Drosophila melanogaster: one gene and its partners. The protein of the gene in region 2 purifies or fractionates together with the protein of the main gene of each other region. This does not show direct contact. Each region holds a gene or a part of one and is shown on either strand. Other genes may lie near its edges. The genes, in order: Mocs2B, Atac1, Ada2a and Atac2.

Region 1 (7,309 bases), on a different chromosome or scaffold from region 2:
AGCATTTTTAACACTTCCTTAAGTTATGGCTCAACACATTTTGCATACATTTGATTTAGTTATTTGTGATACTTCTGAAGTTGCGGGGCCGATAGCTTGACCTTTCCTGGTATATTCCTGGCCAACGACTCTTCCTTTATACTTTTCAGTAAGTCCTTCTCACGAGCACTGCAGCTCTTCTCCTTTGCGAAGATATTAAGTGCTAGTTTCGCCGCCTTTCCTCTTTTTCCCGTACCTGGGGTGAGCTTTACTTTAAACCTAAAAAGGATATCACATTTACAATAAACATTTTATGCGAACTTTCAGTATAGCCTACTTGTAGTTTTGCAAAGCCTGATAGGGAGCAACGACTGGAATCGCGAACAGCAGCTCATCTCCTTCGTGCGGCTGTCCAGTCAGACTGTTGAGTACATCCACATCCCCACCGACGGGCACTTCATCAGCATCGTCCAGTTCCACTGGGTTTTTGGGAGCTGCACTTTTTTCTGGCTTCACGTACTCCTTGGTTGACTCACTTTTCTCCACCACTTTATCGGCACTGGCCTGTGGCTTTTCCTTACCCGATGACTTGAGAATCATCATGCGAATTTCCCGCTCTTCATCATCTTGATCCTTGTATTTTTGCTTCATTTTCTTGAGCTTTCCCTTCTGACCTCTCTTAACTTGAGATGGATTTTTTGGTTCACTACTCACAGGAGGGACTTCCTGCTTGGCAGCTTCTTGTTTCGCCCGTGCCTTGTCTTCCTTGGTCTTTTTGGCACTTACTTGCTTTTTACGACTTGGACCAGCCAAAATAATGGTCGTTTCTTCATCGTCCGTCTTTTTCAAAATTTTGTCTAGGACAACTTCACTCTCTTTAGTCTCTTCAATCTCTGGATTTACGGAGTCGGATCTGACTATAATGCGACCAGTATCGTGCTCAATCTTAACTTCTGTATTGGGAAAAGCTGTAATTTCGGTATTGGAGCTTGGTTCCGATAGATTTATATTTGAATCAGCGTCTTCATTATCCGACAAAAGATCATGTTCAACTTCGTTTTCTTTAACATTTGGATCTATTTGATCATCCTCCAGGCTTCTAACTTTACGCTCTCCCAAATGGCGCTCAATGAAGCTATCCTCCAACTTGAAAAGTAAACTTAGACCCATGGTCAGGTGGCAGGAGGGAAGGAAGTTCTTCTTTCCTCTGATCATAAAGCTTCCCGTTGCCAAGTACTCTCCAGTCGGTGCAGTTTTGCTGACCTGATCGCTTGTTACCCAGTACGAGTTGGTAACCACTTTGGCATCCCAAGCAACACTGTACGAAATAGCCATGGATCCTGCCTCTAGCAACGTTTTGGGAGGTATTTCTTCTCCTGTGGGATTTTGAATAATAACACTCGAGGCGCCTTGAATCTCAGCGTGCACATAAATGTCTTTCGGACGCATATATCTGGAATAACAACATGTCATAATTATAAATACTTCGATCTATTTAAGTAATTGAAAGCAAACCTTTTAACAATAAGCTCGTTCTGCTGGGCATCTCTTCCTCCAATAACCAAATAATTTTCAGAGCTGATAAACCAGTAAAACTTTTCAAACCAGAAAACTTTCCGTGCCTTTACTATGTTCGATATAGTCCTCACTTCCTTGAGCGTCTGCTGCGTCTTGCGCTCCGCAGACTTAAGAGCTTTTTGGGAAGCATCTACAGTTTTCTTTTCTTTTTGAGCAGCCGAACGTTTCATATCGTAGTATCGACGGGCATTGGCCCAAGCAGACAGAGCCAAGTCGACATCCACAACAGTAACCTCTGGATCCTTAAGATCGTCGTCTTCATCGTTGTCATATGGATCGCTGAGCATAAGGGATATATGATTAGTCTCCAGTTTAAGCTGCTTTATGGAACTAGCTACAGCATCGCCATTTGCCTGTGCCTCCTTTACAAGCTCGTGAATATCCGGCCAGGATAATTGACTGGCAATAGCTGACTGAACAGCCCGAATTGCATTATCCACCAGACTTTGATTGGACGTTATTAGCTCTGCTTTCTTTCTGTCCACATCTTGGACTTTTGTCAATTCCTCTAGACGCTTTGCGTGGTCATTCTTGACATTAGACAGCTTTTTTAGTGCCTCACGCTCTTGCTGTAGCGTTTTCATGTCAATCTTTTGCGACTCTTGCGTAGAGTAAAATTCATCAACGGCTTCCATAAAGGACTCAAATGTGGCCTTTTCAAAGTTTTTGAATTGAATAAAGAGGTAGGGATGAAATTCGATGTTTCTAAAGAAAAACTCCACCGTTCCATTCTCTGTAGGCTTTTCCTCTTTAACTTGAATAATGTAGCCTTTACTTTTTCCACTATTTCCCTCAGCTATAAGCTCTTGAGCATCCTAAAAGATTGCACAGAACGTTTTATTTACTTTAACAGCAATAATAAATATTTCCACGATATTGTTCTTACCTTTACTGCTTGCTGAAGAATTGGCAAGTCATTAACCATGTCAAATGGTTTCTGTTCCAGTTTCGTATTCTGTTGCTTCTTACGTTGCTTTTTACCGCCCTTCTCCGGCTTGTCCTCCGCCTCCGGCGTTTCTTCCGTTGTTTCCTTTTTGATAACGTGATTGTCCAAGCCGTGTGAGAGGAGAACATGCTCTATAACTGCCGGACCACAGTCCAAGTTGGGTGTTAGAATCTGTCGCAAATAGTCGCCGTTCCTGGCATTTTCCAACAGCTTAACCAAAGCTTCCAGTTCCAGTTCCTTCGTGGGCTGTTTGGCCCGTTCCACGGGATATTTCTCGCGCATGGCGAAGCGCAGGTTCTCGCCCTCCGTATGCGGACGCAAAATATATAACGTGGTCAGCTCGTAGTCGGTGAGGATCACATTACCACGATCGTAGAGCTCCAAAATAACATGGTAGGCGGCATCACCGGTACCGAACTGAAAGTCAACAATACGATCGCTACCCATCTGTTGAACCTTTTCCAGGCGCTTGTTCTTCAAGTGCTTCCTCAACTTCATGCTGAAACCGGACGGAGCCATGTTCTTGGGCCATTCGAACCTAGTGGTATGGAATCTTGTACCAGATTCTATTAGCAGAGTGACCTTCTCCACTGCACCGGTCCCTTGCATCCGGAAGAGGTAGGTCTTGTTATCCACGTCATAGATCTGATTCACTCGCCAGCCGACCAGCCTGGAATATAAATGTAGATGTACCATTATTCCTGGGCATCGGAATTATCCGGATTTTTTACATACTTTTGCAGTTCCGCCACTCCGCAGATTATATCGAAGGTATTGAAACGTGTCTTCATGGTTCTTTATGGAAAGTTGACGATGTCAACACGGAAAGTGAAGAAAAAAGAATCTATCTGGCAACTTAACTTATCATTAAATATTCACAAGTTCGCTATCTACGTTAGATAAGTTAAATTAGTTTAATAGGGAATAATAACAATTTTATTCACTTGCGAAATTAAGTATCGGTGTAAATTGCGATGGACGAACTTTAAACAAAATATATCGATTGTATGCTGTTGATGATTCGGATTGTCAGAATGAATTCGCTGTATAATTACTATGTATTAAATATTTGTATTGTTTATGCAATGAGTAAGAAGCTTCTTTGATTTATCTAAAAAGTTATTAAGCATTTAATAAAGTTTCAGTCAGCTGTTTCCCTTTCCGTGGACTATTCCACTTCGTTCCGATAAGAAATCGATACATAGGTAGTCGGAAAATGGAACTGCTGTGTCATCGCCAATCTTCATTTGTAAATATGAATGCGGATGGACCTGTTGTCAACGTGCACGTGTTGTTCTTTGCTAAATCCCGTGAATTAGCAAACACTCCCCGGTCGACAGTGGAAGTTCCTACTGAAATTACTGCCACCGAACTGCTGGACCACCTGGTGTCCAAATTTGGCCTGACCTCCATCCGGGATAACTTGATTTTGGCCCACAACGAGTCGTACATTGACAACCTGAGTGATAGAATTCTGTTTAAGGAAGGAGACGAACTCGCCATCATACCGCCACTGAGTGGAGGCTAACCTTTCCGCCATGGATCACGTGAAATTGGTAAACGACCCCATAGATATCGCTCATATCCATCAGTTGCTGGCCGATGAAGGCTGTGGAGCCTCATCCGTTTTCGTGGGCACTACGCGCGATAATTTTCAAGGGAAAAAGGTGGCTTCATTATCTCAATCAATTGATTTCATTGATTCATTTGTACTTTTCGACCTTTCAGGTGCTGTCATTGGCGTACGAGGCCTACGATAGCATGGCACTCAAGGAAATGAATAAAATATGCTCAGATCTCCGATCTAAGTGGCTCGATCTGAAGCACATAGTCATATATCATCGATTGGGAACAGTGCCCGTATGCGAAGCCAGTGTAGTTATAGCCGCCTCGTCACCACATCGTTCTGAGGCCTTAGAATCAGTATCTTTTGCAATAGACCAGCTAAAAACTCGGGTTCCCATCTGGAAAAAGGAAATCTACGACGGCGATAACGACAGCGAATGGAAGGAGAACAAGGAGTCCATCAGGCCTAGTAAGATCTTATGAGTAGCCAGCATGACATGTATTCTTATTATTTGTACACTTGTAAATATAATTAACAATCGAGCGTTTACGATTTTATTGGCTTCTCTCTCATCTGTGCATGTACATTGTAGAGAAATCGAAAAGTGGCTTCAACTACGCCGCTTGTCCCTGCAAAGTTGAGGAGTCACATGACGTCCCGCGAACTCTGGTGCAAATTAGAGTTAATGACGCTGAGTTAACCAAGCGTTTAGAATGTTTTGTCAACAGAAAACGAGACGAAATAAACTCACAAAATGTAATTGACTTCAAATCGTCTTTTGTCAGCTCAGACCAAAACTTGAGCGATTCCTGCGCTCGAACGCAGAGCACAATTATTAAGCAGGAGCAGTCAAATTGCCATTTAAAAGGTGGGTAAACGATGCTCTATTTTCATAACTATAGCCACTTTGGTCTACAAACAACCTATCACAGTCCGACGAGTAAACAACCGATGCGGACCTCAGCAAATGGAAATGCGACCCAACTACGAACTCGAACTGAATAAACTAATGGGATCGCGTGACGGTCAAACGGATCCAACCAAAGAAATGAGGAAATCGCTACCCAATTCACGACTACAGGCAATTGAATCGTACATGGGTCTAACCACCGACAACGAGGAAAACATTTTCAGTAGAATCAAACGAGTGGAAAATAGACTGCTGCAACTGGAGTCCATTTCGCCCGAGTACAGACACTTCGTAGGTTCTTAAAACATTTCCTGTAATTGCAGTTCTAAAAAAATTCAATCTATTCTCAGACCAAACGTGAACCGTCATCTATGGAAGCCGCGCCGCCGAAGAAGAGCCGAAAGAAATCGTATTCGGCGCAAGAATTAAGTGCATTCATTCAAAAGATTAAGGATGGCAGCGAATTAAGCTAATAAAAACCTAATTAATTATTATTCCTTGGTTTGTAATTGATGTAAATTTATTTCAACATTCCAACTATTTGTAATAGTTTTTTTTATGCGTAAATGATGAGAGTGAAAAATGCAAAAATTTTTGTTTACAACTAAGGAATATGGATAAGCGTGGCTGATTTGTTTCTGTTTATTAATCGGTCGTCAAGCTTCATAGATCGCGCCCGAAAATCTAATGGTTATTTGTTAACCGAAGGACCAGCTTACTAATTATTTAATACGCGAAATTATTAAATCTTATTGTTGTTCTCAACTCCTAGCACAGAGTGGGGAATTGAGCTTCATCGTCAACCTTCAGTGGCTTCTGGGCGGAGCGGCGTTTCTCTCCGAATCTGTTGTTGTCTTGTCTGTTTTCATAGCCGTTGCTGGGTCCGTTGTTAAAGCGGGGACCACGGAATCCCTCTCCACGCGGTCCGTCATTGCGGTAGCCTTCTCCACGCGGTCCCTCATTGCGTGGACCCTCTCCGCGAGGTCCGTCGTTGCGATAACCACCTTCTCCGCGAGGTCCGTCATTGCGATAGCCACCTTCTCCGCGAGGTCCGTCATTGCGGAAGCCACCCTCGCGAGGACCGGCTCCGGGGCGAGGTCCCTTGCGGAATCCGACCTTGCGTCCATCATTGAAGTTGAACTGGATGTCCACGATGCGCTGAAGGCGGCCCACGCGCTGAGGATACAGCGATGGATCATACTCCAACTCGTCTTCGCTGTTGCTCTCCTTCTTCTTGCTCAGCACGATCATCTTCTTCCACTCGGCATTGTCGGCGGCTCCCTCGCCCGCTTTGCGCAAATTGTAGTTGGGCTTGGCACGCTGGTCTCTCAAAGCCTTCCACTCGTCAAGGGTCATCTGCTTGGACTCATCCTCTTCGGCGGCGACCGCGGGATCAGCCGACTGTTCGTTGGCCGAGTCCTCCTTTTCCGCCTGCGGTGAGGTCTCCCCGGTCGTCTTTAAGTCCTCAATGTCCTGCTTCGGGGAGCCCCAGTTGTGGGCACCACCGCCTTCGCGCTTGTCAATTGACTTGACGCCTGTGGAGAATAAATCAGCTATTAATAGGCTTCAATCGATATGAGTAAAGAGGATTTTCGGGAAAATGTTTGCCGTATAAGACAAATTAAAAGTTTAACCAAACGAATTTTATATTTTCGGTAACGAATTAATAAATTAATAAATTATAAGATCAAAAATCAAAAAAATCAAACAAAAAAATGTCCAAGAAAACACATGTGTGAACACACGAGTTTGCAACGCAGTAATTTCATTATTTCATCATTTAAAATTAATATTTACAAACACGTTTTCAAACGTTTTGCGTATTACAAATGCCTAAAAGTCACGTGAGAAATACGCGATATGTAATCAATCTTGTTGCCAAGGGTTGCGTTTTCTCTATATTTTGCAGCATGCCGCCATTACAGGGCAGCATTTTCCACGCAGAAAAAACGGATTCACTTGAGAAGCAAACACGAAAACCAAGGACAGAAGAATCTAGACATAATTACCAGTTCTATCGGATCCCGACTGGCGATCGAACTCGCGCTTTCCGAACTTCTCGCCGGTACGGACGCGTGGTGGTCCCCTGTTGTCACGATTGTTGAATTGACGCTGCGGCAACTCGTTTCCGAATTCTCCGTTCGACTCCTTATTTCCGTAGCGTTGGTTGTTGTTGAACCTGCCCTGGTTGTTGGCACCGTTTGCTGTTGGGTTCTTGGGACGACCCACATCCCCGCCAGCGGGACCCTTGCCGCCTTTCACTGGACTAGCGTTTTTAGCCACCGGAGCGTTGGCCTTGCGGGCAGCCACAACCGGCTTGTTCTCCTTC
Region 2 (7,070 bases):
CTACTTCAAATTTTTAACTTAACTTAAGTACTTTCGCCGAACGCAGTTTGTTTGTTATCTTTCACTGACCCGGCATTTCTAGTTGCATAGTCGCCGGTGTGACCGTGATATCACCAAAATATACCGAAAATAGGGGGCTCGCGATTTTGTTCTATTTACAGAGATACAAGAAGTTGTAACGTTCTTATAAAAATATTATATATTGTTAAGAACACTAGCTAGCTCAATATGTCTGTATATATACACAAAATAATAATAATAAATAATATATGTTAAAAGTTACGGAGCAGTACAATTGCTTTTAATGGTAGACATATTTGTCTTAATTTTATATTATTATTTGTTATAAGTGATATAACTCCGATGATGTATATGTGTAGTGTCCATTGGAATACCCCATTCAAAAATATAAGCGCAATACGGGCACTCTGTCGTGGCATTTGAAATAAACGACTGCAAAGGCGCGTCGATCGTTGGCAAATGAGCGTGCTGTGAAGAAATCCATGAAATATTTGCGTGTGCGCCTTGAAGATTAAGGAAGATCTGCGTGAATACTATTGCCAGAAGGTAGGTGATCGACTGGAGCGAACTCTAAATCCTCTGAACTATAGTCAACGCGCAATTATACGTGTTTATCCCGTCGACTGGAGTTTTGCACCCAGGACACACGCACACTCGCACACTCACGATGTCTGGCCTCAAGAAATTCCAAAACACTGAGGAATGGCGTCAGAAACTCCGTCAGTTTCTAATGACCGAGCGGTAAATACACATTGAAACCCATCCTTGGATAGTGTTGCACTAGTGTTCGATGAATTTGTAGTCATTTACTTTCAAACAAGCCACCTGCATGTCAAAATTGTTAGAGAAACAGTACGCATAAATAGTTTGGACAGTTTAGACACACATACAATTTAGTTGAGAAAACTAATAACAGTTTTCCTTTTTCAGCTTGCCGAAAAAGCCCGTGAAAATGGACGAAACGAAGGATATGCGCTATAGTTTGGAGATCGACGAGGATTTGAGGAGACCCTTGGAGGCGCGGGCCAAGAAAGTTCTGGCCGTTAATTCTGCCAGTCAAAGGACTGTTAATCTCGGCGAGGATACTATGTACGAGGCAGGTGACTTGGAGCACTTGGACGATGGCGATGATAGCTTCAGTGCCTTTGAGCGCATGTGCGACAAAACCGGTTCCGATCCGGATAGCACTCTTTTCCAGTACCTGCACAGCGAGGACCGGAGTCAGGTGATGGCCAGGGCTAGGGATCATAGCACCGACGATCAGAAAGAGATCGATGCACTGCGTCGCATGCTAGAGGCAGTGGGTACAGAAGACGATCTATTGGAGAACGAAAGTCCCGTCAAGGGGGCGGAGTGCACTCACCTGGAGGACATTGAGGCGCCGTCGCGCTTTTGGGACAACACCCTGGCCGGAATGGACGAGACCTCATCCGACTCTGGGCTGACTCCTAAAGCATTGACCAAGGTTTCGCCTGTCAAAATGGTGGGGCTGCTTCGCCCCTCAACCATCATCGAAGACAGCGAACTGGAGTCGTCTGATGTGTCTTCACACACAAGCTTCCAAAGCGCTCGCACCCTAAAGACAAATGCATCTAGTTCTTACGAAACAGCCACGGATACTTCCCTCAGTGGAACGCTCCTAAACGTCGACGAATTGTTTTACGCCGCAATTGCCAAGGCCAAGCCACCAGGAATGTCCAAGGGAGAGGAGCTGGAGCTCTTAAGCGATCTTCATGGCAGTCTTAGAGAGCTGGCCTCACTTCCGAAGGATGAGGTCGAGGAGGAAGAGGACGATATAGAGGATACAATAATCGAGCTATCCTCTTCTGACGATGAAGAAGTGCAGCTAGTTCCAGAAGTAAAACAAGAAGACACGTCCCGTGTGTCCTCAGTCCACGGAAAAGATCACACTGAGCAGAAACCAGCGGAGAAGAGCGTTGAAAATAAGGAAAATTCGTTGCATTTCAATGATACCATGGAAGAAATGGAGTACATGATGCAAAAGGGTATGGAGTACATGGCAGGTGGGGCTCCTTCAGTCGCCGCAGTCAAGGCAGATTGCCCTGTGCTGCCCAAGACCAAACAAAGCACGTTCGTTGTTTCACCGAAGCCGGAACCAAAATCACCGGCTGTAGCCTTTTTGCAGCCATCAATTCCGCTGCGGTCATCTAATCAGCCACAAACAGTTGTAGGTTCATCTAGCACGGGTAGAAAGCCGCTCAATGTCGGCCTCACCATGGAGTGGACCAAAAAGAAATTTTTCAGTGCAGCCTCTGGTATTCCTCAGCGTCGCCAAAATCAGATAAAGCAGCCATACGCCAACATAGTCAGTCCCATACGCACCTACACCCAGAAGTCTGGTACTGCTCCGCTAATGAGTACATTCCGTCCAACGAGTTCTGATATGCTATCTACACTGGCCATCAGTGAGTTGGAGCAGGAGTCTCGCTTGTGTCATCCTAAAGCACTTTTCGCAACAAAGGACGAAACACCCAAGTCCAGTGAAGCGGAATCTTTAATTATCAATGGAATCGATTCAGCCGCTGATCTGCTTCCCAAAAAGGCTTACATATCTTCCGAAATCAAGCATGTAAGTTTAAATTTATATATAAGCCATGATGAGTGAACGTAAACTAATACCTTCCATTGAACAGGTGGTTGATGAACGAACTCCTTTGCCCATGCCGAAGGTACCTCAAATTCAAAAATACCTCAACTCCGCCGTGGAGCCTACTGTTATGCGCCACGATGGCAAAATGAAAATGCCCGGCGAGGCAGTCCGCAATCCGTCGTCTTCGCATATCCCACGACGCGCCAATCACAGCCTGGCTGATCTGTCGCTCGCCTCAGGCGACGTGTCCTTATACACAATAAGAGATGCCCAAAAGTTTTAAGGCCCATAAAAGTACTTCACGCTCCTTGACTAAATATTGCAACGATAATAAATGTATTGTGTAACTAGTGCTAGTAAATGCCTTCGTTTTCGTTTGATAGTATCAATGCTTGCATCATCACTTAACTCGCGCCTGCGGTCCCTTCCACGCTCGATTAACCTTGGACTCTGAGGTTCTGCCCAGTTCGGTGCAGATGTACCGCCCCACTTGGATCAGTTTGTCTAGGTTGACGCCAGTATCGAGGCCCATGCCGTGCAGTAAGTAGACCACATCCTCGGTGGCTGCGTTGCCTGACGCCCCCTTGGCGTAAGGACATCCGCCCAAGCCAGAAACGGAAGAGTCCACCACCCGAATGCCATAGTCCAGTGAGACCAGTATGTTGCTCAGAGCCTGACCATAAGTGTCGTGGCAGTGCACGGCCAGATCTTTAGCCGGGACGACCTTGGTCACCTCATCCAGCATTCGGCGCATTGTGCCTGGAGTGCCCACACCAATGGTGTCGCCCAATGAGATCTCATAGCAGCCCATTTGGTACAGGGCTTCCACCACTTTGACGACAGCACTCGGCGCAACAGCACCCTCGTACGGGCAGCCAACCACGGTGGAAACGTAGCCCCGGACGCGCACACCATGCTTTTGGGCTGCTTTCAGCACAGGTTTAAATCGTTCGATGGCCTCAGCTGCCGTGCAATTAACGTTCTTCAGCGAAAACGCATCAGATGCGGCTCCAAAGACTGCCACCTCCTCGGCTCCCGCCTCCAGAGCACTCTCGAATCCCTTCAGATTAGGCGTGAGGACTGGATAGCTTATACCAGTCACTTTGCGGATTCCTTTCAGCACTTCGGCATTGTCGCCCATCTGTGGCACCCATTTGGCGCTCACAAAGCTGGTGGCTTCTATGGTTCGCAGTCCTGTTTCGGACAATTGGTTGATCAGCTCGATCTTGGTGGCTGCCGGCAGGAGTTTGGGCTCGTTTTGAAGACCATCCCGCGGTCCAACCTCCACAATTCGCACCTGATTGGCCGCGCTTGTAACCGCCGTGCGCTGTTAGTTTTAAAATTATTAAAATATTGTCAAGTGCGTTCGATTTTCCGTGAAATTACCTTTGCTGTAAGTGCAAGGATAGAGCGAATTGGTGCACTTATCATTGCTAAATTTGTAAATAAACGTTACGTATTCCGCTTCTTCTTTTTTCGCTGATAACAGCTGATAATGATCCAAGATCGATATGTTGCTAAATTTCGATAACTGTTTTGCTTAATGAGCTGCCATCTCTAGCGCAGAGGCGTAAACACATTTTTTGTATACAAACGGGTATTTGGTGCTAATTCTTTGTAATGGAAATAGCAGAGATATCTGCAGAAGATGAGGATGTGTTTCACTTTGAGACCGAGCACCTGGCCCTGCGTGGCAACCAGTGCTATACCAATTTGCTGCGCACTTTGGCCGTGCTGCAGGCACAAAGGATTCGGGTGCATCAGCAGATTGAGGAATTGGAAGCCACACAAAATATCTACTTGGAGAATCCGCAACATATGCTGGACAAACTGCGAAACAACGAGCCTTTGATAGCGGATAATTACATCACCACGACCGTTCTACCGGACTTGCCAACTCTGTCGCCCAATGACGAGGAAGGGGGCACAAATGAGACACCGACCGATGCGTCTTCATGGACGCAAGAGGCGAACAAGAATCGGGACAGGAGCAATGGACGGTCGGAGAATTTCAATCGCTTGTGGACCAACGAAGAGCAGAGTCGCTTGGAGCAGCTGCTCATCCAGTATCCGCCAGAGGAAGTGGAAATGCGCAGATTCGGGAAGATAGCGAAGGCCTTGGGCAACAGAACGGCACAGCAAGTGTATAGTCGTGTCCAGAAGTATTTCCAAAAGCTGCACGATGCCGGAATGCCTGTGCCCGGTCGCATACCCAAGCATCGACGTCCTGGTTTGAGTAAGCCGAAGATCAAACTTCGCAAGTCAACCTTCTTCCCCGCTCATAATATATCGCTACAAATGCCAGAGGACGATTTCACATTTGACGACCTGCGAATCCCATCGCCTGCGAGCGATATGCTCCTTATGCCGGCATCCAAGATCGAACCAAAGATCGAATCCGAGTACATGGATGCCGATCTGAATGCGGAGTCAAAGCGAAAACAGGAACTATGCCTTAAGCTTCTATCAGCCATTCAGGACGAGAAACGGGAAATGGAGGACGGATATGAGCCAGACTTGCTGGCCGCCAAGTGTGCCGAGTGCGAAGAGGCATCTGTGACCAGGACCCAATGGCGTTGTAACAGTTGTTATTGTTACCTTAATCTGTGCGGAGATTGCCTGGCCAGTCAGCTAATCGAAGGGCGTTTCGAGCATTTAAGTCATGAAGTTGTAGTGGACCAAGAGTCATGACGCTCCTAGAGTCCCATTTACTTGAGTACTAAATTACTAGACTTGCCTGTAAAGCTACAAATTAAATATAAAGAGAATAATTTTAAAAAATTCTATTTTATTTATAAAAACTTAATATTAAATGGTATAAAAGAGAGGCCCTCTTAATTGCGCAATTGGGCAGATGATTTCGGCAGAGATTGAATACGCTGGCGACGCTTTGCTTCGAACTCCGTAGCCAGCTGCCATGTTTCTTTGTCCAACGTATCCTTCCCCCGGGCGATGCCCAGCAGCCGTGAGAGGACCAGCAATCCATGCAGATCATCGGCATTACTTTTGACATTAGCTTTACGCATGTCCACGAAATCCTGCTGGATCATTTCAGTGTGCTCCTCGCTCACGTTGAAGCCGCTAGTGCGCGCTGTGGTCAAGTACTTGCGAAACTGCTGCAGACGTGATGGCTGCAGATAGTGGTGGGCTGCCTTTAGAGATTCATCAACAAGTTCCACGGCCTTAGAATCGGCATTAATGGGCAGCACAAAATCGCTCTGAAAACATATCATTAATAGTTTCTATTGGATATAATGATTATTTATATAAACTTATATTCTTACCGGCAACATACTTCGCCCTTCACTGAGCACGAGAACTGGAATATTTGCTTGGTAGTCTATTTGGTAATACTGAAAGTCGCACTTCAGTTCCTGATTATTGATCAAGTGCGCTAAATGCTGAACGGCATGAACACCATTGGCCTCCAGCTTGCCCTGTTGCATGCACGTCTCGTCGAGCACCAAATGCGTATGGGGAGCCAACTGTAGTACGCCGGAAACCAGCTTGTTTGTCTCATAATCCTTCCTGCAAGTACTCATTAATAGGTATTCAATTTTATACTATTTCTGCTTAGCCAACTTACTTTGGGGCAAAGGCTGCCGTGTTTAGTGTGACGAGAGTCATGGGCATGTAATGGCTGGCCGGCAGTAGCAGCTCCAGAATTTGATACAACTTGGTTGCATACGCCTCACAATTCTTAGGGAGATTACAAAGGTTAAGGGCGAACTTGCCGATGCTCTGCATCTCAGAACGACTGTAGACCGTAGATATTAGGTGGGAGAGCAAATACTCGGCAGCCAGATCGTCATCAAAGAGGCAGAGTTTAAGAAGCATGCGCAGATCTTTGTGCACAGCAAGGTGGGTTGGATACGTCTCCTCACATATTTCCGTTGGCTGTCGAAGGCTTTTGTCCAGCAGCGGATTGGCATGCGGCAGCACCTGGACTCCGAAGGCATGCAGGCGGGGTATAAGAAATGGCGATGGATGAGCTGCCTGCAGTTCACTCAAGTTTTCACAATCGTCTATTTCCAGGGTAGCGGCGTCTAGTGAAGCATCCACTGACAGAAAGCCCACAAAGTCGACCAGCGAGTTAAGCTGGTAGGTATCGAACTCCTCGTAAACCTTTACCATGCATGCCATGCTGGGACGATCCGGCAGAGGCGAGTTAATCAGGTAATCAGACCCAAGAACAGAGGATTTGGAGGCGCCGACTGGCTCGCTATCTTTTTGAATCTCTTTTAGGCAGGGTCGCTTGAACGTTGTTTCGCTCGCAACGTCCACATCCATGGCTTCTTCTTCGCCTACAATAGTCCGCTTCTTGGCTGAACTGGGAGATTGACCCAGACTGGCCAAATCGATCTGGGGACAGCACAGCTTCTCATGCTCCTTGCTCCAATCGTTCAGACCAGGCACAGAGACCACGAACATGGTACGC
Region 3 (8,223 bases), on a different chromosome or scaffold from region 2:
GCCACTTGCCGCAACTGGTTGGGGCGCGGGGTTGGGGGATAATGGAGGAAGGGGTAAATATCTCTGTTGCCAGTTGGCAGCTATAAATTCCGCACATGCCCCGCCCACCGCCCACTGGCCACACCACAAGCCCCTTCAAGCGAACGCACCCCATCCGAAAGAGCTAAGTAAGCTGTAAGCCATGAAAAGGGTTGTTGCTTCTGGTTCCGGCTCATCGTCTGCCGTCTGCTGTGGAATGCCGAAGGAACTGCTGCCTGCGCCGCGAGACGAGCATGTTAATTGCCCCCGAACCGACGTTGCCAGGTTCAGCAGGATGCGGCTGGCTGCCTGTGTTCCATGGCTTTTGGGCCAAGTCACAACTTGTGGCACAAAGTTCTTAAAAATTGACGCACGCTTTGTTTCCTTTTGCGTTTTAATTAAAAGTCCAATGCCAGTTGCAAGAAGGGATTGCGGAACGTTATGGTTATGACCATTGACCATTGGCCAGTTGAGCTTTGTTAAGCCATCTAAATTGGCTAAAGAGCTTGGACTCTTTGGCATCGCCGGTCACTTGGCAACAATCACTGCACTGAAGGGATGGGTGAAAAGATTTTACTCTTGCGTTACATGTGAGGCGGCTTTATTCATTAGTCAACTTTTCTCCTATCTTTCTATGTGGCAAAAAGAGGGAAAAACTTAAGGCGATAAACAATGAACAAAAAAGTTGTTGACCATAGCCAACATTTTCCTTTGATCCATAATTACAGGAATTTGTGAACTCTGTGTGCTTATATGCTTCGAGTTTAATTAAAGATACTTACCAAATCATTTGTATTACATATTAGTTAAAATGCCTTTCATAGATTTATTTTCATATTATGTTATTGGCTCGTTTTGAATATGATTTATATCTAATAATAAGCAAAAAATGCCATGAAATTATGAGCCCGTTTTTTTTTTTAAATCCATTCAACTATACATATGTATGAAATTAAATATATTTATTTATATAAAAACAATGATGTTATTAAAATTACTCTCAATCGAATCCTACTCATCTTCTCCCACTGAACCCTTTATGATTCCTTTACCATAATAAGCAGTGAGCGCAACCATTCGGGTGTCCAGATAGTTGTGCTCCACCTCGCACTGCTGCCCAACTCCACTTAGAGCGACCACCTGCTTCATATTGGCGTTGCGTGGCAGAAAGAAAGCTACGTCAGATGCCAGGCTACGGGACAGCTGCATCAGTTGGCTAGCACCCACGGGCAGGAGACCTGTTTCGATATCAAAGGTGGCCTGCTTTTGGTAGTCAGGACCACCCCACGGAGGGCTCAGGAAAACCACATTTGGGCGCAGCTTTGTGCTGGCCGCAAACTGCAGAAAATCGGCGTGGATAAACTCGATCTTATGGGCCACACCATAAATGCCGGCATTATGCTTGGCCATGGCCAACTTCTCGGCATCGATGTCCACAGCAATTACGCGTCCACAGGTGTTTGCAAACTGAATGGCATTGCCGCCGCATCCACAGAAAGCATCTACGATCACGTCGCAGGCCAGTCGTCGGGCCGTTTGTTTGGCAATCTTCTCGGGTGTCACCGAGAACCAGCTCTCGCGGTCCAGCCGAATGCCCTGATCGAAGCGGGAGAACAGCGAGAATCGCTTGACCCAGTACTTGACCATTTTGTTGTTATCCTCTTGCATGCACTCTGGCATCCTGGCCTTGAGTTTTTTTATTTGCCTTTGCCGTCGTTTTTTCTTTTTAACAGAACCGCTCTGAACGCCGTGCAGAGCCTCGTTTTCGTTGTTCTCCATGGTCAACAGATCATGATCGTCCTCGCTATCGCTGCTAGATAGTTCGTACTGTGTCTTTCTTTCCTTTCTATAATTAATTATATCTGCCTTCGACGCAAATGATGTTGGCAATCCGAGAAGGCGCAGCTGTTGTTCCTCGTCACAATCCTCGGGATCGTCGTTGGCAGTCAAGTATGATTCGTCCTCCTCTTTCTCTGTGACCCTTTGCTGTTTCGATTTTATTGGCTTATTTGTAAGGCTTAGGTTCTGCAAGTCCTCCTCAACATCTTCTGAGTTTTCAGCGACGTCAAGGCCAAATGATTTGGCCAAATCGTGTTGGTAGTTCTCAAAGGCACAGCTAAATATATACCAGAACTTTTCACTGTAATCGCTGGCGTGCTTCTCCCACAGTTCCTGCCAAAGGCCTTGCTCCTCCGACGAAACCACCTCGATAAGATCTTTGTATTCGGGAAACCGCTTGTGCCACTTTTGCTCGAGCAGCTCATGCCCCTCACGCTGCCAGAATTCTTTCCAGGTAACGTTTTGAATGCCCCCCCAATTGCAATTATTCCAGTCGAAATCGTTACCAAAGAGCTGACTGAATATATAGAACTGCGGATTGGTTCGCGAGGTGGTCAGGTGGTGTGTGTTCATTTCTCGATCAGACTTCTCATCTCCAGCCTGCGAGTCAGCAAGTCCTCGGCTCTGTCGATGACCTGGATGTACCATAAGTCGATGGCCGGTCTGTAGGTGGCAAGTAGCGCGCTGAGATACTGTTTTTGGGCCAACGGATCGTTGGACAGACTATTGATCTTGTCGTAGACACCGCCGGCGGTCAGTTTGGCACCTTTGGGATGCTGCACATTATGTAGCACCACTTCACCACGCACAATGCAGTAGCGGCCGGTACTCACGCGATTTTCGACGACTTTGTCATGGGTAAGGCCAAGAATAAGCAAGGATACGGTGCCCTCGCCCAAGGAGTACTTCCTGAAAGATGCAGCATCATTGGTAAGGACCGGATGGATAGGTAATATAGAAAAACTTACTTTGGCAAACACTTAACGCGCACGTTTTCTAGGCGGTACTGATTCGCCTTGAACGCCAGACGTCCAATTAATGCGCACTGACCGTAGTGCAGGTTGTGGTAGGAAGTTTCCAGCTCCAGTTCCTCCACCAGCAGGGTCTTGAAGAAGTAGCAGTACTTGGGCGCTCTCGAGGTAGAGGCTTCTGGCACCAGGGACATAACTCTCTTGGAAAAAAACCAAGAATTCCGAACAAAATCAAAACACCCGGAATGATAAACTCAACATGCTTGCTAGTGTGACCAACGTATCTACGCACGATGCGACCCACCTATCGATAGCTTCTTCGCCAGTTATAGCCCTGCCTTTCTCATCACTAAAAACAGCGACATTTTATTGTGCAAATTAGAATTTCTTAATATAAACTTTAACAAACTGAGCAGTTCTTAGCTCACTATGTCTTTTATGAACCCCGTGGATATGGTGGATGAGGACGCCGCCGACCTGCAGTTTCCCAAAGGTAACCAACGCCCTACACCAACCGAAATGCAACTTACAAGTGAAACTGGCTGAAACCTTTGGCTTCGAGTGCCCCAAAAGTGGCACTCCTCCACATTTTTACCACACTGAATTGCCTCTTTGCAGTTGAGCCACTGGGGCCACAGGTTAAGCGGTTCATCCATGCACATCAGAATGAACACACCAGGAACTCCATGGTTTTGTATAATCCGCACACGTTGCACAGGTACTTGGAGGAGATGGAGGAAAAGACGCGGGACCAGAATAGCAGTGTTCCATCGGCTACAAAGGATGCCAATCGGTGTGCCACATGTCGCTGCAGTCTCACAGAGCCGTACATTAAGTGCTCCGAGTGCCTCGACACCCTGCTCTGCCTGCAATGTTTCTCACGTGGAAAGGAGGCCTTTTCTCACCGCAATAACCACGCTTACATCATAGTCCGCGACAACATACAGGTTTTCGCCGATGAGCCACACTGGACGGCACGGGACGAGCGCATACTGCTGAAAACACTTCGCACCCACGGCTATGGCAACTGGGAGGCGGTCTCCCAGGCTCTGGACCAGCGCCACGAACCCGCAGAAGTGCGTCGTCACTACCACGATTGCTACTTTGGCGGGATATTCGAGCGGCTCCTTAATCTGAAGCATGCGAGGGACAGCTATGTGCCCGAGCGAATGCCGTATGTCTTCAAAATGCGCAGCTTGGATCCACCACGTCATGACGACATCGCCTCCATGCAGTTCAGACTAAGCGCAGGTTACCGCTGTGCAAGAGGAGACTTCGATACTCCGTACGACACCTCAGCAGAGAGTCTGCTATCTATTATGGTGGATCATAGGGGCAGGGATGACGACAACGAGGCGTCTGAGAGTGAGTTTGAGCGCGAAGTGACAGAGGAATTGCAACTCGGACTAGTTCGGGCATACAACAATCGCCTCAGGTATGATCTTATAACAGAAAGCTACTAAAAAAAATCTAATATGCATATTTACTCACAGAGAGCGCCAGCGTCGTTACAAGATAATGAGGCAACACGGTCTCATAATGCCCAATCGCACCGTCAGCTGGATTTCCAAGTACGTGCACGCCTTTGGCAGCGATGCGAGTTGCATGCGTTTCTTGGGCTTCATGCAGATCTGTCCTGACCCCATTAAGTTCGATATGCTGTTGGAGTCTCTGCGTTATTATCGGGAGCTGCATAGCCAGCTGCACAAGCTATACGATCTGCGGGAGCACGGCGTTCGAACTCTTTCCGGAGCCAAATTATATGCCCGCTTGAGCAAAGAACGTCAGCAGGCTCAGCGAGATTACAGCAGGCTGAAGCAAACAGATGCTTTCGACTGGCAGCAATTGGTGCAGCATTACGAGAGCAACAGGAGCGGTGATCCTGGTCCCCTGGCCATTAACTCAAAGTTATATGTGATGAACACGCGTCGAAAGGCCAGTCCCATTGAGATTGGAGGTGGGAAACACTTTACTCATTGCCTGACACCAACTGAATATAATTTTTCTTTGATCCCAGATCTGCCTGGTTACTCCAAACTGGATGATGGCGAGCGAAAGTTGTGCAGTGTGGCTCGTCTGGTTCCGCAGTCGTATTTGGACTACAAGAATCAACTCGTTACGGAGCAAGCAAAGCTCGGATATCTACGACTGGCCGATGCGCGACGTCTCATCAAAATTGACGTGAACAAAACGCGTCAGATCTACGATTTTCTGCTGGAACATGGCCATATCAGCAGACCACCGTCCTATGGCTAGGGCTAATTTTTTCTCCAATGTTTCACTTGTAAATTTCCTGAATGTCGTCAAGTAACTAATTCAAGAAAAAAAAACCCTTTCGTTTCTCTTTGTTTCAGAGTTCGAAAATGCCGAGACGCTGCTGATATCGGAGGTGCACATGCTTCTCGATCACCGAAAGCGACAAAACGAATCCGCCGACGAGGAGCAAGAGTTCTCCGAGGTCTTCATGAAGACGTACGCCTACACGGATAGTTTTCGAAAGTTCAAAAACAAGGAGACCATAATGTCTGCGCGAAGGTAATGTAGCAAAACCGAACAAAGCACGTACGAGTAGTAATATTCAATTATTTCAAATTCAGCTTGCTGATGCAGAAAAAGCTGCACAAATTCGAACTGGCGGCACTGGGTAATTTGTGTCCGGAGGCGCCCGAGGAGGCCAAGGCGCTGATTCCTTCACTAGAGGGTCGCTTCGAGGATGAGGAGCTGCGCCAAATACTCGACGATATCGGCACTAAACGCAGCTTACAATACTAATTACTACTACGTATAAATATAGTTTAGATATAAAGTCATGGTCCACTTACACAATAAAGTGAAGAACAGCAAGAATTTTAAGTAAATGCAGAATATACACTGTAACAAAAATCAACAAAGTCTAAATACAATGTAATTATATCAAACAAAAGATTTACTTAAAAAAAAGTATATATAAATTGAATTTGCCGCTTGAAAGAATTGTTTGTCTAGTGTTGCCAGACTGCTCACATGAAAGAACTTATCGAAATAGCCGTCACATCTGGCAACTTGCTGAAAGGCCCGCACTTGCAATTGTTTTCTTTTTCCTAATAATTGCAAGCGAACAATATTTCACAATGAACAAGGACAACTCCAGCATGAAAATGGATCCGCAGCTAGCCCTACGCCTCCTGGCTGATGGCGGAGTGCTGGTCATCGCCGGTGTACCCGAGGGCACGGAATTCGGCATTGATCTTTGTGCCTACACCATTGGTCCGGATTTCCGAGGCGTCAAGATGATTCCACCCGGAGTCCACTACGTATGGTGCTCCTCCCGTGGTCCCTACGGCGATGCAGCCCCTCGTGTTGGATTCGTGCACTTCTTCCATCCGAATGAGATTGTCGTACGAGAGTGGGACCACGAACTGGAGGAATTGCGCCCGCGGAGGATTGCCGAACCGGAAGTGGAGCGAGACCGAATACGCAAAAACCTAGCCCAACTGGAGCGCGTGCTGGCGCCGTACGACTATCGTTACGTGGTCCAGTGGAAGGAACTCACCGGCAGCGTGACGGAGTCTTGCGTGGATCGCTGCCGTCCGACAGAAGGAACCATCCGTACGAACATCGAACTGCAATCCTGCCCGGACGCAGATCGGCCGCGAGGTGGAGCCGCTACTGTCAGCATAAGCCGCCGGAATGCTGCAGCTCGGATTCTCTTAGATGAGAGCGAACTCCTACCGGACCTTAAGCCCGTGGAAGGAACAGCTCCGCGCTTCACTACCGTACCCCTGCGTGTTCCACAAGATGCCCTGCCCGCTGATGTTTCCCGCCATGCCTTGGACTGCATCGATGCTGTTGACAAACTGCTCGAAGGCTTTGAAACGGCCGATGGACTCATTGAGGAACTGCAGCTGGCTTACGCATTTTTCCTAGTGGGCTACTCTGTGGAGTCTCTGGCCCACTGGCGCAAGCTTTTGGGCTTGCTGGCTCACTCGCAAACGGCGGTCACCAAGCACAAGTTAACGTACATGAAATACAGCGAGGTTTTGGCCCACCAGCTGCCCCATCTGCCCGAGGAGCTGATGGTGCCTGGTCCGCATAACACCGTCTACAAAGATGTACGCGAACTGCTGGTCAATCTGCATGCGGGCGGCTTAAGTGTCAGCGCTGAGCGGCTAACTAAGCGGCTGGAGAAAAAATTGGGATGGGAATTCGAGGGCCTGCTAGACGAGGATCCCGAGGACCAGCCTGTAGTCATCGAACTTCCGGAAGCCTAGGAGAAGGGCGCTACGCATGTGAAGTGTAATTCATATATTTGTAATACAATGGACTGAAACTGATCTATATTGATTTCTACTTTAACGCAGCGAATGCTGGGTGCGCAAGTAATTCCACAGATCCCGAGCCGTGCGGATGCTGACCATGAATTGGCACAACTTGGTCTCGATCAGGCAGAGAATCAAGAACTTGGCCCGCTTGTCCTTTAGCAGGGACTGCAAGGAGTATGGCATGGACATGGGTTTTCTGTAGCCATAAACGGCGCCACACCATCACTCACCTCCTCGTTGTTCTCGGGACCATTCTCCACCACCGTCCAGAGTTCCTCCGACTCCAGATACGCCCGCACCGTCATCGACCAGGCCTTGTAGTTGTCCAAACCTTTGAGCTTCTCAATTTGCAGCTGCAGTGCCATCTCCGAGACTCGAGCAACGTTTCGCAACTAAACCGCATTCGGGCCCTTTGCTGTTTCCTTACCTTCGCCTCTTCCAGCTGTTGTCCAGATTTTTAAATATAGATATCTTAGTATTTGTATCTGTATGCACACGGCTTTTCCATTGTGCACATCAGCAAACTGAAAACAATGGCCACTAGACCCACTTTTCGTGTTGCTTCTGGCCCAGCTATACATTCAGCTTAAGTGGACACTTCTGATTTGACGCAGAAGCGCTGTCGCTTTATGTGCCTGCCTGCTTGTATTTTCCGATGACCACAGAATTTAGTTTGACATATATTTCTTCTGAGCAGCAGCAGTGCGCCTTCTAAGCTCGCATCTTTTGGATGCATTGACAGGTACGAATCTTCATTTTCTGTGGCTAAGTCTTGGTTAATAATTAAAAACTGAATGTGGGATTGATCTCGATTCGAAGCTATGCTTGATTAGCAAATGATAATGATAGAAGAAAATGTGTTTGAAAATCTTTATTGAAAACTTCATTTAAAAACTATGTAAAATTTCTCTATCATACTGAACGCGTGAAATCAAGAAAGATGCATGATTGAAAGGATCACTTAAAATAAATCCGTCAAAATGTAAAACAAACTAGTTTTATTGTTATTTATGGTCGACTTCCAAAAAAAAAACTAATAAACTAATAGAGAAACTGCGTGCCGATAAGGAAAACATTCGGTTCCTTTCTATATT
Region 4 (8,288 bases), about 12 Mb from region 2:
TAGTGGTTTCCAGTGGTATTTATGGTACGGTCCTATTATCAGCTGTTTATTTCCACAAGCCGAAAAATTTTACAAGTTTTTAATTAATTTGTAAGGAAAGTATGGTTAACGATAAAAAGCGTCGCTCACGATCGCGGGAGCGTCACAGGGAGGATCGTCCGGCCGTGGGCAATCCGCGGGATCGAGAGCGAGAGAGGGATCGTGTGAGGGAACGAGATAGGCAGTTCGATAGGGAGAAGGAAAGACGCCAACGTCGCTCGCGTTCCCGGTACGTTTTACTTTGAATTATGGTGAAATAAGTCTCATAAACTGATAAACTCATGTGTTCCAGAGAGGACCGCAACAGGCGAAGGTCACCCGAACGTCAAAGGCCTAGGGATAATGTCCGAGAAAGGTCAAGAGAAAGAGGTGGTGGCGCCGGTGGTGGAGGAGGAGGTGGTGCGGAAAAGAAGGCCAAAATGGATACTGGCGATGCCCCACCCAAACCTTTAATTGTTGACGACGAGGAGCAACAGGACGGCAAGGAAGCAAAGGTGAAGAAAGAGCCGCTTTCGCTGGAGGAACTGCTGGACAAAAAGAAACGCGAGGAGGAAGCCAGAAGCAAGCCAGTTTTCCTAACCAAGGAGCAAAGAGCCCTGGAGGCCATCAAGCGACGCCAGGAGGAAGTGGAGCGCCAGCGAGCTGCCCATGATGCTGCCCGTGAGCAAATGGCTGCCGCCAGCAAGGTCAGTATCTCTATGGGCACGGCCATGGCATCAGGAGCTCCGCCGCCTGCAATTGTGGCACCGCCACCCAAACCGGATCGTCGGGAACGAGGAGGTGGTCGGGATCGAGGCGACAGAATTGACAGAGGAGAACGTGGCGATGACAAGCGAGCTGAAGACCTCACCCACAAAGACAAGGAAAAGGAATTAGAAGCCATTCGAGAACGCTACCTGGGCATAATCAAGAAGAAGCGCCGGGTTCGCCGACTCAACGACCGCAAATTTGTTTTTGATTGGGATGCTGGAGAAGATACCTCCATTGACTACAACAATCTCTACAAGGAACGCCATCATGTGCAATTCTTTGGCAGAGGAAATGTGGCTGGCATCGATATCAAAGAACAAAAGCGTACCCAGAGCAAATTCTATGGAGATCTGCTGGAAAAAAGGCGAACCGAGGCGGAGAAGGAACAGGAGAAAGTGCGACTAAAGAAGATGAAGCGCAAGGAGGACAAGCAGAAGTGGGACGATCGACATTGGTCCGAGAAGGAAAATGATGAAATGACTGAACGCGATTGGCGTATCTTCAGGGAGGACTACAATGTTACAATTAAGGGTGGGAGAATTCCCAATCCCATCCGAAGTTGGAATGAGTCCGGATTTCCCAAGGAGATCATCGACATTATCGACAAAGTGGGCTACAAGGAACCAACGCCCATTCAGAGGCAAGCTATACCCATTGGTTTGCAGAACAGGGATATTATTGGCGTCGCTGAGACCGGTTCCGGTAAAACATTGGCATTCCTCATACCCCTGCTCTCTTGGATTCAGTCCTTGCCCAAGATCGAGCGTCTGGAGGATGTGGACCAAGGACCCTATGCCATTATAATGGCTCCCACGCGTGAATTGGCCCAGCAAATCGAGGAGGAAACAACCAAGTTTGGACAACCTTTGGGCATACGAACTGTGGTCGTTGTGGGTGGTTTGTCAAGAGAGGAGCAGGGCTTCCGCCTGCGATTGGGCTGCGAGATTGTCATTGCTACGCCAGGTCGTCTCATTGATGTGCTGGAAAATCGGTATTTGGTGCTGAACCAATGTACATACATTGTCCTCGATGAAGCCGATCGTATGATAGACATGGGCTTCGAGCCAGATGTTCAAAAGATCTTGGAGTACATGCCCGTCACCAACCTGAAGCCCGATACCGAGGAGGCTGAGGACGAAACAAAGCTGATGGAGAACTTCTACACTAAGAAGAAGTACCGCCAAACCGTGATGTTTACGGCAACGATGCCTCCGGCTGTGGAAAGATTAGCTCGCACATATCTCCGGCGACCGGCAACGGTTTACATCGGATCTGTTGGCAAGCCGACAGAGAGAACAGAGCAAATAGTGTACATGATGGGCGAGAACGACAAGCGCAAGAAGCTTATGGAGATTCTTTCGAGGAAAATCGATCCACCAGTTATTATCTTTGTTAATCAAAAGAAGGGCGCCGATGTTTTGGCTAAGGGTCTGGAGAAACTCGGCTACAACTCGTGCACATTGCACGGTGGCAAGGGTCAGGAGCAGAGAGAGTATGCTTTGGCTGCTTTGAAGTCAGGCGCAAAGGACATCCTGGTGGCCACCGACGTCGCTGGTCGTGGTATCGACATCAAGGACGTGTCCTTGGTTATTAACTATGACATGGCCAAGACCATCGAGGATTACACACATCGTATCGGTCGTACGGGTCGTGCCGGCAAAACCGGTTGTGCCATTTCGTTTGTCACCAAGGACGATAGCGCTTTGTTCTACGATCTAAAGCAATGTGTGTCTGCAAGTCCTGTCTCGACCTGTCCGCCGGAGCTAATGAATCACCCGGAAGCGCAGCACAAGCCTGGCACGGTGGTTACCAAAAAGCGCAGGGAGGAAAAAATATTCGCCTAAATTTGGCAAATTCTAAGCAGAACTACTTTAGGTTAAAATTTAAAACTAATAAAGTTGGGTGCGCCAAAGCCATACCTTGGCAACCAAAAATTCTCTTTCGAAATAGTCTTTTGAAACTTTAGATTCATAAACCATTTATTTGAAAAAAGTCTCATCTTTGTAATCTCAAAAAGAAGGCATTTCTGCTCTGTTTCGAGTCCAGAGGCAGATACTTGTCATAAAAGTCCAAGATGATTTCCTCCATCTTAAATCCGAATTTCTGGTACAACATGACGGCCGCGTTGGTGGCGGAAACGTGCAACGTTATGTCCTTGGACATACATGTCTGGATAAGGTGATATAACATGAAGCTGGCGATGCCACTGCGTTGCCAGCACGGCCGCACCGCCATGAATGAGATGTAGGCCTCGTTGTAACCTACGTCGGGCACTAGGAATCCGCAACCGATGACCAGTTTCTTGTACAACGCCACTACACTGTAGTCCGGGTAGCTCAAACACTCGCTTACTAAAAGGGAAAAAATCATACAAATTTGTACATTAAAAAAGCTAAAAAGAAAATCATGAAACCCACCATCAATGTTTGGCCAAAAAGTACTTTGGAGTAATGCGTTTACGGCCGGAATATGCTGCGGTCTCACAAAACAGAAGTCGATGGTAGATCTTGTGGGATGAGATCCGTTTACTCTATGCTGCAGCTCGCACATAAGCTTCAGCCATGGAGGAGCCATCGTTTCGCTCCGAAAGATAAATGGATGAAGAACTCTTTGAGAGTAGGGCGATTCAAAGAGCTCGTATTGAGTGCATCCCGCCAGGCGGGCGTGAAAGGAGCTCCTTGCATCTTGTCGTGAATGGGCTAACAACTGATATCTGTCAAGAATTTCGGCCTTCTGATGACCCAGCATCTTTAGGCGTGCTCTTCCCAGGGGATCTATGTGCTCGTCCAAGTTAAATATGTGTCGATTGTGGTCCCTTTTCCATTTTCGAAGAGAAAGTTTTCGATATAGGCGCCGCACATAGGCAGGTATGGATATGTGGCACTGATGCTCCAGTGCGAATATTCTATCGAGTCGCTGGTACAACTTCTGTTCTTCGTATGCATTTATTAGTTTGAGATTTTCGCTAGGAATGGCCATGTCATCGGGATCCTGCGCCTCCTGCAACCAGGGCCAATTTCGCCGTGGTTGTCTGACAAATCCACTCGGTTTGCAAGGCTCTAGGATAGAGGATTTGCTATTTGTCGTGACGTCATCATCTTGCATTATCTCTTCTAGTGGTTCCTCTTTGATGCTTTCGTTTGCCTCTTGCGCCTGGTAATTTGTAACCTGTACGATGCGTGGCTGATAGTCGGGTGATTCGTCCTCTTCTGGCTTTTCATCTTCTACCTCGCCTTCTTTTTGTTCCTCGCTGCTTTCGGCTGCAGGTTCTTCTGTTGATATGGGTTTGGTCTCATCAGCGGTATTTGGTATGGCAAAATTTGTATCCATGTCGAAAAGACCTTCATTATTCAAAGGTGCGTGAAGCAACGGCTCGGTCATGAAGAAATCATTTTTACCCGCTCCAATCAGGGGTGGGGGCATTATGCCTGGTAGGTTACCAAACATGGTAAAATCATCGCTTTCCAAACTTTCAGCCAGAAAATCCATCAGGCCTGCTTGGACCATGCTCATAGGCTGATTCTGTGGTTCTTCCTCCTTCTGACTTGGTGGCGCTATATTTTCTTGAAGAATTGGTGGCCCTGGAAGCGTTTCCTGTGACAAGGGTGAAGGTTGTGTTTGTATCTTTGGCAAACGGCCCATGTAGGGACTGGAATAAAAGTGAAAGATTTTAATGAAAGGAACGCATAGTTGTATTCAAAATTAATTATCTTACATTGTTCGCGCACAGCCCTCTGTTGAACTGGGTTTCTCAGCTTCTGCTTTAATAAGCGGTGGGTTATCCTGGGCATGATCCGCCACTGAGATCTCGCTGCTACAGCTGGTCTCGTCCGCTGCAGGCAACCGCTTTTCAATACGCATTTGTAGCCGCAACTGTTGCTTTTTCTCATCTGAAATGTGACGACTTGTGAAATCTATCATATCATTAACTTAAGTGGCACTTACATTCTTTGAGAACGCTTCTTGGGGTTTGAAAGGGCTTGGCCAGTTTCCACCAGCCGTTCTCCTGAAAGACATCCAGACCAGACTGAAAGTACTCCGGACTGTTGTGGGACAGTGCGCCGGATACGGAACCAGTCCATTGCTTGCGACGCCGCCTGAACAAGGGGAATAAATTGAATGTGTTCTCCGGAAATTATTCATTTACGAATACTTACACATTGGGACCGAATATATAGTTCCAGTTCTTGTCCACAAAACTGATGATGTGCGTGCGCCAATGGAAGAATCCATGGTGTCCCAAGCCCTTTTGTTTGATGGACAGATTGTAGAGCGTTAGGGTGAGCACCAGCAGCCAAGGTATCCTTTGGCGCACGATCACTTCCTTAATGGGTTCTAGATCTGAGGGTATGACCGATTCCTTAGCTTTATCCAGCACACACTTGACGCACGTGAACTCGAAGAAAACGTCGCCTAAAAGATCTCCGGGCGTGCAAGCATGCGGCAGGCATTTGATGTGAACCATCCGCCTGCATTCCTGGCACTCCAGGTAGTTGTCGTCCTCCACCGGCGATTCACAGTAGCGGCATGGTCCCTGGGGATCATCCCAGTTACTGGGCCGATTCATTTACTCAGTAAAACAGCACAAATTGCAAGTTAAAAACAATCAACAAAATAATGTGTTGTTTGTGTGTTACCGTTTCGCACTTTTTGGTTTATACCATATATATGAGAAGCTTACATTTTGAAAATACCAAAAAATCGCACTGTGCTCGGTTCAAATTTGTCAATAATTTGAATTGGGAAAACAAAAAATAAAATTAATTTGTATTCTTAATTGATCTTTTCTGAAGCACTACAAAACATATTATTATTAAGCACTTATTTATTTATTAACATTGCCGTTTTAAAATGCCGAAGATGTCAGCATTAACATAATTTAAAATAATTTTTTATTGTTAAAATGTCATAAATAAGCATTTTTAATTAATATGGAACAGAGACAAGGCTATGGTCTTCGCATATTATATACCCTCTTCTCAGGTGTATTCAACATTTTCTTGTCACATTTTTAGAAATTGCAAGCAAATATCAAAACACTTTTTAAAAGTTTTGAGCTCTTGGTGGGCGTTAGAGTGGGCGTGGCATTCTTCTGAAACAAACTGTGATGCGTCTACATGTCTAGAATCTGATTGCTCCATCTTAGCTTCCTAACTTTTAAGTTCCCGAGATCACAGCGCTTATACGGACGAACAGAAGGACACGTTTTAATCGACTCGTCCACTGATCCTGATTACATATATATGCTTAATACTGTCGGGAATGACTTTTTCTTTTGTTATTTCTTATGCCAGTTACCTACTTTTCAACGAATCTAGCATATCCTTATGCCCTTATATACACTATATAAAAGATCCCGATTGTTTTTTATGTTCTCCCTATCTAGAAGATAAGAATCCGCTTGATTAGTACAGTCCCGTTTCGCTTGATCAAGCATGCGTTTGTCACGCCCTACGCCCACCAAGCACATTAGTACCAACGCCCACCACCCACCACCCAACGCCCAGCGTCCTTTGGCCATGCAACGAAAATGACATTAATGGGCTCTTTACGGCTTACGCATAATTAAGGCTGTTTCCGGCAGACCATCGACCATCGGACCTGGCCCCATTGCTTTTGGCCCGGTCAGTGTGTTGTCTTAAGCGGGCCTAATTAGGCATCGCCGGCTGCTGCGTTCTGGCGAAGCTGTTGCTTCTGCTTCTGCTTCTGCTGTTGTTGTGTGTTTGATGAAGTGCATGATTGGTTTATGGACTGAAGTGGGATGGTCGAAACTGCAGGCCGGCTAAGTGGGGTATTCAGTTGAGAACCAAAGCTGAACGGATCCACAATTGTTTCTTTTGTAAATCACTTTCTATTTGCCGAATGATTATTACTGCAAAGCATGCAGTTTGTGCATCTTACAGGATATGCACCTATTTACGATTTCACTTCAACACTCATCGTTTTCAATTCAATTTGAATATTGCACTTCAAGTTCTTCCCTGCCTTTAATATCTGTAGTTGAATTCCTTTCAACTTGCTTGTCTGGCGCCTCGAGGAGATTTTCATTTAATTCGCGACTGCCCGCTGGCAAGTCGAAAAGAGCGAAAAATATGGTGAAACAAATTAATTTGTTGGTGCTACTACAGCCAAAAGTATATCCCCGAATTATGTTTTAAAGTATATCTATATCTTAGTTTTGCGAAAGTTAAAATGAGTTTCACTCATAAATCACTTAAAGCTCGAGGGTAAATATTTTCTGGAAAGAGCTTGACAAATTGGATAGTCGTTTACTAGCTGATTATGACATTTACAGATGCGATGCTGGTTAGAATTTGTTTGGCCACCCATTTTGTTCATAACAACCGTATTTGCTCTCAATCACCAGACTTATTGCACCTTAGCTCCACGGCCATGGCTTGACCGTTTTCCGAACGATTTAAGGCCAGGTCCTGGCACAAAGGGAAAAGTAAGGGAAGGATATGGGGGCATCCCCCCATCGTGAGGGGCAAACAAACGCCGTCTGGCTGTCACTTAATCGAAGCCATTAGCGTTATTAGTGGGGCTGCTACCAGCCGATGCACTGAGAAAATATATACGATGCTCGATGAATATTTGATTAAATAGCATTATAAGTTATATAATTTAACAATAATTGTTAAATTCTTTGCAGTCAGGTGTAATTGTGTCTGGATCTCTATTACACTTCTTTAGTAGATACAAAACAGAAATTAAAAATAAATTGTAAGCTATAAGAATAAATATTTTATTAACTTTAAAACATATATTTTAAGAACAAATTATGTTTTGATTTCCTTGATCATTTGTATGATTTATGTTTTATATGCATCTATTATTCCCACGCCTGACTGGCGGCCAAGTAGAGGGCAAAGAGTGTCTGGACATTATGGATGTAGTCCGCCTGCGACTCCAAAGGTCCTTCCACTCCGAATCTCTCGCAAAGAACTCCCACGTATTCCGCTACAGAAATGTTCTGCTGCAGACAGGATCTGTAGGCCTGATCAAGGGCATTAATGGTTTGTTCATCGCCAAAGGATCTCGGCCAATCCTCCAGGAGGGCATCTATGTCCTTTCTGGGCTGGACATCGTACATTGACTGAGTCATATGCACTTGTTCCACCTCAGTGATCCACTTCTCTATATCCTTGCCCGATCGGGCGGTGGGAACCAGTGATGCGGAGGAGGCGTGACGCGGATTTCGCCCCATGCTGCCACTCAGTACCGACCGAAGTTTCATATTCAGCAGACTGGGCTCACTTTGAGCGCCAGAGGGCTCATCGAGCAACCATAAGCCCAATTTCTCCAAGTGATCGTTCAGATCCTTCTGGCGTTGGGGCTGCAAAAGAGGCGGAGCCTGGACTTTCAGAAGGGCATCCACATCACCCACAGCGGGCACAAACTCGGGGATGAAAGGTTGCAGGTGAAACGGAGTATCGATCGTTTGCGGGGTGTATTTGACGATGTAGGGAAAGAGTTCCTTGAGTTCTCCGGGCACGGAC

Evidence for each region.
Region 1: the proteins of Atac1 (region 2) and Mocs2B purify together in Drosophila melanogaster (affinity purification with mass spectrometry; 4 studies listed by BioGRID, with this or other methods). This does not show direct contact.
Region 3: the proteins of Atac1 (region 2) and Ada2a purify together in Drosophila melanogaster (affinity purification with mass spectrometry; 4 studies listed by BioGRID, with this or other methods). This does not show direct contact.
Region 4: the proteins of Atac1 (region 2) and Atac2 purify together in Drosophila melanogaster (affinity purification with mass spectrometry; 4 studies listed by BioGRID). This does not show direct contact.

Annotation. Positions count from the first base shown.
Region 1 is NT_033777.3:25,123,796-25,131,104, reverse strand, and holds Mocs2B (molybdenum cofactor synthesis 2B), read left to right. Parts: upstream 1-3,745; 5' UTR 3,746-3,758; coding exon of another isoform or gene 3,759-4,031; 5' UTR 4,032-4,041; coding exon 4,042-4,170; intron 4,171-4,231; coding exon 4,232-4,538; intron 4,539-4,662; coding exon 4,663-4,938; intron 4,939-5,002; coding exon 5,003-5,271; intron 5,272-5,330; coding exon 5,331-5,453; 3' UTR 5,454-5,473; downstream 5,474-7,309. Other genes in the region: Clbn (caliban), read right to left, coding at 60-258, 317-1,432, 1,495-2,372, 2,444-3,173, 3,239-3,294; Mocs2A (molybdenum cofactor synthesis 2A), read left to right, coding at 3,759-4,031; vig2, read right to left, coding at 5,749-6,515, 6,990-7,309. UniProt on the Drosophila melanogaster protein: Catalytic subunit of the molybdopterin synthase complex, a complex that catalyzes the conversion of precursor Z into molybdopterin.
Region 2 is NT_033779.5:6,957,436-6,964,505, reverse strand, and holds Atac1 (Ada2a-containing complex component 1), read left to right. Parts: upstream 1-4,177; 5' UTR 4,178-4,252; coding exon 4,253-5,323; 3' UTR 5,324-5,407; downstream 5,408-7,070. Other genes in the region: sip2 (septin interacting protein 2), read left to right, coding at 689-762, 952-2,611, 2,676-2,915; Hmgcl (3-Hydroxymethyl-3-methylglutaryl-CoA lyase), read right to left, coding at 3,033-3,959, 4,019-4,063; CG3430 (uncharacterized protein), read right to left, coding at 5,467-5,850, 5,917-6,160, 6,219-7,070.
Region 3 is NT_033777.3:18,250,415-18,258,637, reverse strand, and holds Ada2a (transcriptional adaptor 2a), read left to right. Parts: upstream 1-3,150; 5' UTR 3,151-3,257; coding exon 3,258-3,321; intron 3,322-3,401; coding exon 3,402-4,263; intron 4,264-4,321; coding exon 4,322-5,084; 3' UTR 5,085-5,182; coding exon of another isoform or gene 5,183-5,363; intron 5,364-5,425; coding exon of another isoform or gene 5,426-5,600; 3' UTR 5,601-5,795; downstream 5,796-8,223. Other genes in the region: Tgs1 (trimethylguanosine synthase 1), read right to left, coding at 1,030-2,430; moi (modigliani), read right to left, coding at 2,427-2,766, 2,826-3,022; Polr2D (RNA polymerase II subunit D), read left to right, coding at 3,258-3,321, 5,183-5,363, 5,426-5,600; CG12320 (uncharacterized protein), read left to right, coding at 5,939-7,078; CG18598 (uncharacterized protein), read right to left, coding at 7,160-7,294, 7,360-7,494. UniProt on the Drosophila melanogaster protein: Component of the histone acetyltransferase (HAT) complex ATAC; predominantly involved in acetylation of histone H4, including at Lys-6 (H4K5ac) and Lys-13 (H4K12ac).
Region 4 is NT_033779.5:18,606,823-18,615,110, forward strand, and holds Atac2 (Ada2a-containing complex component 2), read right to left. Parts: upstream 5,428-8,288; 5' UTR 5,357-5,427; coding exon 4,947-5,356; intron 4,887-4,946; coding exon 4,735-4,886; intron 4,680-4,734; coding exon 4,505-4,679; intron 4,439-4,504; coding exon 3,207-4,438; intron 3,141-3,206; coding exon 2,785-3,140; 3' UTR 2,754-2,784; downstream 1-2,753. Other genes in the region: CG10333 (uncharacterized protein), read left to right, coding at 102-268, 332-2,633; IFT46 (intraflagellar transport 46), read right to left, coding at 7,622-8,288.